3 linked regions of the Drosophila melanogaster genome follow. The protein of the gene in region 3 interacts with the protein of the main gene of each other region in a pairwise test. Each region holds a gene or a part of one and is shown on either strand. Other genes may lie near its edges.

The links.
Region 1: the proteins of CG1324 (region 3) and CG14427 interact in a two-hybrid assay, tested with the Drosophila melanogaster proteins (one large-scale study listed by BioGRID).
Region 2: the proteins of CG1324 (region 3) and Cpr76Ba interact in a two-hybrid assay, tested with the Drosophila melanogaster proteins (one large-scale study listed by BioGRID).

Annotation. Positions count from the first base shown.
Region 1 is NC_004354.4:7,038,590-7,042,302, reverse strand, and holds CG14427 (uncharacterized protein), read right to left. Parts: upstream 1,701-3,713; 5' UTR 1,614-1,700; coding exon 855-1,613; 3' UTR 534-854; downstream 1-533.
Region 2 is NT_037436.4:19,517,019-19,519,963, forward strand, and holds Cpr76Ba (cuticular protein 76Ba), read right to left. Parts: upstream 1,315-2,945; 5' UTR 1,258-1,314; coding exon 643-1,257; 3' UTR 534-642; downstream 1-533. Other genes in the region: Cpr76Bb (cuticular protein 76Bb), read left to right, coding at 2,677-2,945.
Region 3 is NC_004354.4:20,733,940-20,737,562, reverse strand, and holds CG1324 (uncharacterized protein), read left to right. Parts: upstream 1-1,602; 5' UTR 1,603-1,769; intron 1,770-1,832; 5' UTR 1,833-1,863; coding exon 1,864-2,742; 3' UTR 2,743-3,108; downstream 3,109-3,623.

The DNA.
Region 1 (3,713 bases), about 14 Mb from region 3:
TGATTTTTTTTCTAAAAAAAATGATTGTTTTACTCACAACTTTGGTTATAAGAGTGAATTTGGAATGTCATATCTCGTTGAGTTCGTGGCTTAATTTTCTATCATGTGTCATTCACAGCTGAAAACAAAAAATTTTTTAAATTTTTCGAAAAAAAATCATGCCTTAAAAATTATTAAAAATTTGTCAAAAAAATATTTTTACCAAATTAGTTAAAAAGTGATATGGATCGCTAGGTTTGGTTGTTAGCTGCAAAAAACGGTGTATTTCTTGTCTGTGCGTCTTAATTTATAAATATTACAACTAAAAAACCAATAAAAAAACGCATAAATTTCGCACATTAATTCGTCCTTTTTTTGGTTATAATATATCAGTATTAAAAATCTAAAAAATTTTCAATTTTTTTTAAAAATATGTATATTTGGGAAATTGCTGTAAAACTCAGAAATGCCGTCTAGCCGTGTAGCCAGCCAGCAGTTTAATTGGCCCCTGACCTTTGACCCGCATCTAATTAGTTTGATTGAAAAGTCAATAGCTTAGAGATTGTAAAATATATTTGCGAGCACAATTTGATTATCCAACAATGTACACATCGTTGATTGTCCTTGTCCTTAAGTCTAGTTTGTATGATATACAGTCAAAAAAAATAATAGGTATTTTTGTAAAATCGTATAGGTCGATTTGCCATTGCTGGGCAATGCAATCGTAGCGGATTTGTAATTATTAATTGCCCAACTGTTTGACAGCTGGCACACCTGTTGCCAGTCCTCGCCGGGTATTACATCGATGGGCTACACCAATCGCCGAACCACTCCGAACCAGGCGGAGATGGTGCGATTGGTTGGGTCTTCACGCCTCACAGATCTGTGGATATGGTGTGCGTGTGCCCGGCTAGCAATTGGTAGGTGGTGTACATGGGCTCCTCCAGTGGTTCCTTCTCGAAATCCACCTTGAACCTCTTGGCCGCACTCTCCATCTCCTCCAGGTCGCTGAAGCCCGGAAAGCTGGTGGGGCAAAAGTGGCCGGCAATTGCCTCCGGAATGTGGGTGACATTGTGCAGCATGTGCGCTGGCGTGGATTGCAGATAGTTTCTCCACTTCTGGTACGATGAGGGAGGCATCTGAGCATTATCCCTTCTTTGGCAAATCGGCGACGAGGTCTTGGGCATAATGCGCTGCGCCTGCTGCATCATGTGCATCTCCCACTCCAGATTGCCCACCATTTGATCGGATTGTGTAGAGTCTCGGGATGATGCACTCATGTCCTGCGTGCGCATAAGCACTCCCTCCATCTCCTCGTCATTCTCCTGGCCCTTTCTCGGCGATGAATTGGCGCTGCTGCAGGTGTAGTAACCGCAGGATTTGTCCAGTTGTGGTTGCTCTGCGAAATCATCGCAAATCGGCTGGCTGGAGCGGCTCCAGATGCTGCGACTGGACGATGAGGAGCTGCTGCTACCGCTGCTGCTACCGCTGCTGCTGCTGCCCACTCCGCTGCTGTTGCGACTGCTGTACAAACGCTTCTGGGAGCGACTTGCCGATCCGCCGGAGGCCACATAGATGCTGCTATTCAGGCTGCTCAGCTCCTTGAGCTTCAGATTGCTTGCACAACAACCCATGATTTCGGTTTCGTTTGAAAGTTGTAGTGTAGTAAACTCTGGTATGATGTTACTCGCTTGACAATTCCTTGTCGACTGTTCTGCATGGCCATAAACCGGCGGGCTTATATATGTCCAGCAGGTAGAGGCAGGAGGATCCCGGAGTTCCTGGAATCACCCGTACCGCATGCGGCTACCTGATTAGTTTTTCAGATATTTTCTGGCCTAATCCGCGAACGGGATTTCATGAAAATACGCGATACTTTATGGCCCGGCAATTTGGTCAAAAACACTGCGATTGGGAGAGTACCTGCGATCCTGTTTGAAAAGTCCTTGATTCGAGCACTTTCGATCTGGCCAACGAGTTAAGGTTGGACTGTCGTAGTGCTTACTCTTACTATCCTATACCTTCATATTTAAAATACTTTCCTGGCCATAACTCTTTTCGGTTTTATCAGCCTTTTTATTTGTGAAACTATGAGTTATGGCTGCAGATATATGACCGATGTATACCGATCATGGTCGGTCAGTCATTTTGGTCGGCGTCCTTGGGCCATTGTGTGTTGGCCGGATCCTTGGTCCTTGCCATGGCCAATTGTTGTGTAAACGCCGTGGCGCAGTCCTCGGAACGCCGTTGACGCCGGCCACAAGTCTCGAATCAGCGGGAAGGACCTTTTGCCAACCGAATCAAAAACCAGAAAAGTCGTAACCTCGAATACCACGCAGCTGCACCGACTTCGATCTATTTCGGAAGAAAACTCCTCAATGGAACGACTCTACCATTCTTGGACTCAACGTATAACTCAAGGCCAAAAGAAATCGAATTTGGCATCTGGATGCAAATGGAAATCAACACGGGCAATATGGAGAATGAAAATTGAAAATGTATTTCGCACTTCAATGAAAAACGTTTGCGATGAATGACCAAAGAAATTCGAATAACAAGGAATAACAAATCTAATTTACAATTAAAAGGCACATTTTTAGTGTGCGTGATCTTTATGTAAATTTCAACTGGGCGTTGCTCAACCCATCCACATCCACCCGTTTGCCCTTAAGACTTAAGGACGAACACGTGGGATCTCAAACTGAGATACCCTATCTGAGAGCTCGTGCCCCTATGTTATATCCTTATGTCCTTACAACGGAATGCAACTGCAGTGGCACGTGATAATCGCTGCCTCCTTTGGGGTCCGTATACCCATGGCACTTTTAACAACCTCCGGGTTCTCCTTCTTAGTTAACGGGAAACAAACTTGGCTTTTGTTTCTGACCAACTGAGCAATTGAACAACTGAACAACTGGCCAACCTCAGGCCTCATTTGACTATCGCACATTTGGTGTTTGCTGTTTTGGTTTCTTGTTGCATTTTCACACGCAATCGCTGAAATTCCCGCATTTTTCGGCTGGAAAAACGCTGAGCGGAATTTCCTCGCCTTTCGTCAATTTTCCTTAACGGAGTTTCCCGTTCTCCGTCTGTTTGGCTTGCACTCGTAGCGCTTGTTTAGCGAATTTGATCCGTATCCTGCATCGAAATATGCATTTCCATCCACAACCATATCCACATTCGCATCCGCACTTGGCAGCAGTCACGTAATTCGGGCATTTGTTCACTGCACGTGACGGGTCTCCATTTTGGGGAGAACTCCCAATGTTCGATGCGAGAGCGGAAACGGAAGTCGAAGAAGAGCTCCCGGTGACCCCAAGAATACAGTGTTAGAAAAAATGTGCCTGAAAACAAAAGACAGAATCTGATGCATCAAAGAAATCGACTATTTAATTAAAAAAAAAATTTACACAAAAAGAGACTCTCTCTGCAATATGTAACTTTTATTCACCAAATATAGCTACACTTTTGTCCCTGTGTTTGGCATGTGATTTGCCCTTAGCTTCGACTCAGTTGAGCTTGTGCAAATGGCATCTGTGGAGTTGCTAGTGGGGCCAGGAAACAGCTTGAATAGCTAGGAGTTGGTGAAGGATACATATCCCTCGATTGATACAGAGAAACTCGAAATGGGGAAAAGGCACGTATGGCAAATGGGCCTTGACAATTTAGCTAAGTAAGATGCAAAACTAACTTACGACTTCCTCATTGCTTTTGCATGTGTCGTTTACTCAAGT
Region 2 (2,945 bases), on a different chromosome or scaffold from region 3:
CAATTGGAAAATAGGCAATAAATAGGATTTCTCAGGCGTTGTTTCTCTGTCTCAGCAGATTAATAATATCAAAAATGGGAGGTCCGAAAAAACTTTCAATGGCATTCGTTTCGAAGTCAATGACTCTGGGCATCGAGATCGAGTCGAATAAGCAGGGGAACTTAAGTAACGACAGCGACGGCGATGTAGATGAATTAAAAAATTGTGAAAATCAGGAATATCTTTACCATCTTTACCATATCTTTACCGGACTCTGATGATAACTTTTGGAAGGACTTTTCTGAACAAGCCGAAGCCTTCAAAGTCCTTAGAAAAGATGTGCGTAAGATCTTCCGAACCTCCTTATGTGAGCTAGAATACAAAAAGGCTGCAAGACACTAAGGCCTCAACATCCTCCGTATCGAATGTATCTTAGAATTATTGGATCGGTAAGTTGTTTCTCTCATTTAATAAACGGTGTTCGTTGTGGTCTTAAATCTCAGAACTATTGTAAAAACTTTAAATAGTAAAGTAGTTTGATTTGTAGCTTTTTTCTGCACTTTGATATATTTACCTACTATTTAAGTTAACAATTTTGTAGTTCTATTTACAATAATTAAGTCGGTCCGAATCGCTTGCAGTCAGTCAGTTAGGTCAGCTCCTCTACCACCACTTGTTGCTCTTGTCCTCCCATTTGCTGCTGGTGTCCTGTTTGACATCCACGTAGCTGGTGGCATGACCATGCCCATGTCCGTATTGCTGGCCATATGAGTGGCTGTGCTCCAAGTGACTGGCGTGTCCCACATGCTTCACGGTTGCCTGGAATCCGTTGTGGGAGTCGGCGGTGTACTCAACGATCCTGGTGCGTCCGTCGGCCTCCTTCATGGTGTAGCCTCCCTTGACCTTGTCGCCATCGCGGGTCTCCCACTGCTGCTTGATGTCGCCGGTCTTGGTGTCCTTCACCCCGTAATTGAATTCGTATTTGGGATGGTGTTTGGGTTCCTCGTGGTGGCTCCACTGGTGGTGGCTATCGTGCGCAGCGACTGGAGCCCACTGCTGGTGGTGATGATCCTGAACTGTGCCCCATGAATGGGCCTTTGGGACATCCACCCATTGGTGGTGAGCCTGGTGGTGATCCTGCCACTGCTTGGGCGCCTCGTGATGCGTCTGGATGCTGTACCCCACGCCGTGTTCGTGACTATATCCACCATGAGGGATGTAGCTAGCAGCAGCCACTCCCAGAAGTGCGCAGCAGAGGATGCTCAATTGGTGGGCCATTTTCGTTGGTTTCTGATTGACTTGCCTGGCCTAAATCACGATTGGAACTGTTATAATCACCAGACAATGCCCAATGCTTTTATACTTCTGGCCATTCTATGGATCGATTAATTACATTTTAGACTGCGGGCTAAATAGGCTAGAAAAAAGTAAGAGCCCCAAAAATGGGTATAAAAAATGCTTCGAATTTTTGTGCAAATTTTCATTTTTCCCCATTCGTATTCATAGTCTTGGGCGGTCGGTCGATTGGCAAATTAAAACTTGCCAGAAACAACAACATCATCATTAAGCGGGGCGTGAACATCGCTCAAATGCTTGAAAAACGCAAAGCTTTTCGATTTTGTTGCTTAGAAATCAATCAACAAGTGTGGCCCGCTTTCAAATTGCTCAGCAATAGCCGCCTCGCCTCGCCTCGCTGCGTTTCCACGGTTGGACCCTCTTTTTCGCCTACTTCACTCCAAATGACCTTGAGACGGACGGTGCGGTAAGGGGCTGAGAAGGGGAGGGCAGCGTTGGGCGGACCGTCCAATCGGTTGGTGTTTCTGACCAGGGGGTCTGCTGTGGGGCACCCAGAGCTTCCGAATTGGTGTTAACTTACCGATAGTGTTTTTTAATGCATATAATTTACAAGGCTAATAGACTTTAAGCTCGGAAATTTGAAATGCGTGAAAATATAAGCATATTGGTATTTAGCCTACGTTATCTGATGTTAATTATTTTTAAGACGTTTATTTGCATAAATTGTTTCGCTATCTATAGGAATAACATGCATATTAAATAAAAAGAAATCCTGTAGTTCAAGTTTTAAAACTACTAATAACTATATAATAAATATAATGTTGAAGCCAACAGATTTCTAGGAAAAACACATAATTATTTATAGCAAAATAGGTTCGCTTTGGATATTTACATAAGGATTTCAAAGTACAACACTACAAAGTTTATTTATTGGTTAGTTTAACAGCATTTCCTTATTTCTTCAAGCAAAAGCTGCCGCCTTCATCAGTTCACATTCTCAGTCATAATTAATTTTTGTAAATTAAGCAATAAGTTCTTGCCTTAGTTTTTCCCTTCTCTTTGACTGAATACCAAACACATCGAACGATCTAACAAAAACTTTTTGGATCTGATATTATTAATTATTACTAGCAGAATTTAATTGTAACGGATTGGACTTTAAATAAAATGTGCCGATTTTCTATAGAGCTCAATGGCCGAAACAATAATAATAAGTACGAGTTAGTGAGGTAATTATCAAATCAGCTAGCTCGATTGGTGAATGGTGTGGCCAAGAGAATGACCACCCGATGGTTGATTGCCCCAGAGTCTTCGATAGCTATATATAGTCTAGGTGAGCTCCCCAAGAACCAGCAGACATCATCAAAGTTCCGATTGGAAAACAGCGAATAAGTGACCGATATGAAATCCTTTAGCGGAGGTCTGTTCTTTGCCCTTCTGGTGGGAGCCAGTTGGGCAGCTCCCCATGGTGGACACGCCACCAGCTACAGTTCGGTGACCAAGCACGAAGGACCCGTCCACAAGAGCCTGGGCTACGGATACGATCACGATGTGGTCAGCGCTTACGGTGGCATCTACGGACACGGCTATCCGAGTGTCGGCCATTCGGGCTACGGATACGGATACGACAAGCACGAGCCCCATCACTATCCCAAGTACCAATTCGACTA
Region 3 (3,623 bases):
CAGTTTCAGCTCAGTTCCAGTCCACAATAAGATCTCAATGGGATGTTTGAGGGATCCTCGGACGGGTTTGATTTATACTGCGGATGCGTCTGGCATCGACCAGCCGTTGGCCTCATAAATGTCCCAGAAGGACCTCCGGCAGCTGCCAGTAACCATTTCAGGGTATTTTTAAGCCATAATTGTATTACGACAAGCTCATTTTAAATGGTCTCCACCTTTCAAAAGCCTACGTATCCTTACAGTATTTAATTCGCAGCTAAAAACCTCGTGATTCTTTTCGCATCTCAAGCAAAAGTTTCGATGGTTCTATATTAAAGAGAATTATTAGTTGGTCAACATATTATATGCGTTACTTCCGAATTGGTCGGCGGTGTAAGGCGTCGTCATGCTATGAAAACCCATTTTCCCGAGCCCTAAAAACCTTGGACCAAACAACAAACGACTTTTATGCGTTGACATAAAAGGGCGCAGCATCAGAAAATCAAAAACGATAAAAACGGTCTCTCAACTTTTATTTTACCCCGCATGTGGAGCTGCAAATTGTCATTAGACATGCCGAATTTATGATTTTCGACTGTGATTTCGCTCTCTTTTTGGGCAATCTGCCATTCGATCCAGCACCACCCACCGACGCCCGCTTAAGTATGCTACACACATTTTTTTGGTAACCCTTACCAAGGCCCAAAGCACCCCTTTACTTTACCCCTCCGCCGCCGATGTGTATGTGGCACACAAACTCATAAATTGTATAAATTGTTCGGCTATTATTTCTCGTGGCTGTCAACGCAATATTGCAGGCAAATTGTCCTGGACAATGACGACAACATGTTGGCGGGGAAATGGGCAAGCAGGGGTTATAGGTCGGCTTGGAAATACATTTTTCTATGTGTTTTTATGAGCCCCGAATGTGAGATGGAGGCACATCAAAATGGAGATTACCTCTAGTTTTCCGACAACCTGTTTTATTAACAAGTTTTCACCTCTCGTATCGTACCTTCTAACGTGTATGATTTAGGTACGATTGGTCCAGCTGTGAATCTGCTGCTTATGTTCAGTGATTCTATCAATATAATCTATCATTTTCAGACGACAATTTCGGTTGCAGACCGCCAACCCCTTAATCCCTAACCATATATGGATTTTTTATATAACCATTTTTATGGAATTTTCTGCTCGTTTGTGTCAGATTTTTACCCATTTTTCGCAATTGACTTTGCAGCCTTGACTTACGCCAAATGACATAATTAGCCATGGGCGGGGGGCGTGGCAGGTAGTCGTTTTAGGGCTAGGGTTATTATATAGCACGTAACCCTAGCGCTGGCCATGCGCCATAAAAGATGCAATTTCGCGCGAATTCTAACCCCAGCAAATCCTTTTTCGTCCTGCACTTTAATGCCCGTTTTTTTTTCCACCGAAAATACCCGGGTTTCCTCCCTTTTTATGCCGTTTTTATTATTATTTGCGAAAACGGTTAGAAAGTCAATTGTTTTATGGGATTACGGAAAAGCAGCAGGCGGGGCATTCCAGTAGGTGCTGCCTCAAAAGTCAGCTGCCCAAACATTTGGGGCCTACAACGCTACGCCCAGATCCCCAGTCGTTCTCCGAGCACCGACTCGACAAGACCCAAAATATATTCGAGCTCAAAAGTTTACAATTTCGAACAAAGTCAAGGCTTCACAAAATTTTCATATAAAATTCACCGTTGAAAATAACTTTTCGTTCCGCTCTTTTTTCGTTCCTTTTCTGTTTAAATATACAATATATATTAGGTAAAAAATAACATACTACACGTACAACTTTTCAAATTCAACAAAAATATATATTCCATACAGATTAAACGGCGTACGGACCCACTGAGTTACAATGCAACGTTCCATTTTCAAGAGTAGCTGTTCCAGGACACTGATCCTGCTTAACTCCCTGAAATCCATGCACCACAAGAGCCTGCACGTGGAGCAACTGTTGGAGGCAGCTCCAGCGCCCAAAAACCGCTGCCTGGATCTGTTGGGTCGCTTGATCCATGGCCGATTGAGTCTCTTGGGCGGTCGTCCTGTCCCGCCCAGATTCTTACCGCTATTGGCGGGTGATCGAAGCCTGTACTTTAATGCGGACGAGGACGAAGAGTTTCGTAAGCGTTTGGCCATGCAGCTGAAGGAGTTGCGAGAGACCCTGCAAGAAAAACAGGAACTTCGCGAGGGACAAGAGCAGGACTTTCAGGAGCTGGAGCAACAGGACGAGGAGGAGGATCAGCCGTATGTGCCCAGATCTCGGGAGATCTCCATGGAGGATCTCACTGACGAGGAGCTAAGTGACGTGCGGGGGCTGCGGATGAGTGCCAGCCAGGATGATGGCAAGTCTGGTAATTTCGAGCAGCCAGAAACCAGTGAATTGGAAAGCGAGGAGACGGCGGATGCTAAGGATCCCCGGGAGTCCGGGCAGCCGCGAGAGCCTCAAGATGCCCACGATGCCATCGAACACGTTCGCGAGGGTGAAATCGAAGGAGTTTACTGGACGGGCGAGGGCAAACGGATTGTCACTCAAACGCCACAGCGTAAGACGGGTCATTCGGGATTCATCGATGGCCATGGCGAAGAGATTCCCCAGGAGGACTCCAAGCAAGAGGTGGCTCCCTATCACCCTGAGCCTCGGGCCCAGGCGCAGGCCACCTCCAAGGTGATAAGGAAGGGCCGCAAGCCCAAGTCGTCAACCAAAACCAACACGCCCAGCGATTCCGACGAATAACTAAATTGCCAGTAAATGAAACCAAAACCCTCGAGCTGGGATCGCTAAAATAAATACAAAAGGCTAAAGACAAAACGCTCTATGCCGTGTTTCCCTTTCCCAGTAACCATCTGAGGTTTCTGCGGGTTGCATTCAGTTGAGTCATCTGCAGCCAGCACTACCTGGCCACTGCTTAGCAAATTTTATGCAATGACCAGGAGTCAAGGACGATTTACCTGGGCGGACAACACACGCTTCCCACACGCGGCGGTGGGCACTCTCACTCTTTTTTGCGTCCTCTAAAATCCTTTTTTACAGCCCTATCCTTTTTTTGGCTTTTGGTGGAATTCTGGGAAAATTTTACATAAAGATCGTAGAACACCGAGCATGTTTTTTTTTTTTAATATAATTTTTCAAATAGATTCAAATGTTGCTAGCCATTGGTGGCTCGTTTAATGGTTTAATCAACATGGACAAGAGCCAAGTCCATATTCTCCCCTGTCTGTGGCTGTTCCTTCTGTACCTGCTCCATTGACCCAAGATGATAAATGATGTTTGCCAATCTAGCTGACCCAAGGCCGGAAATTAAATTTGTTCGAAAATTTGCCACTTTTCCCCGTCTGTTTCTTATTTGTTGTTTGTTTCCCCCTCAGAGTCACGCCCGAAAAAAATCTGGAGAAAGGACTGTGGGAACAAAATGGGGAGGAGATATGGAGAATTAATATCGGGCTTTGGGAATCTTGTAGAACAAAAACATATACATATAACAAAATAATGTTCTTGATGTTCTATTTTTAACTAGAAGAATCTTGGGATTAAAATACAAGTTTTTATTGACTTTTGATACAAGACTTGTTTCATAAATATAATAGCAAATGAGTGCTCGCCGGTTTTCAATTTAT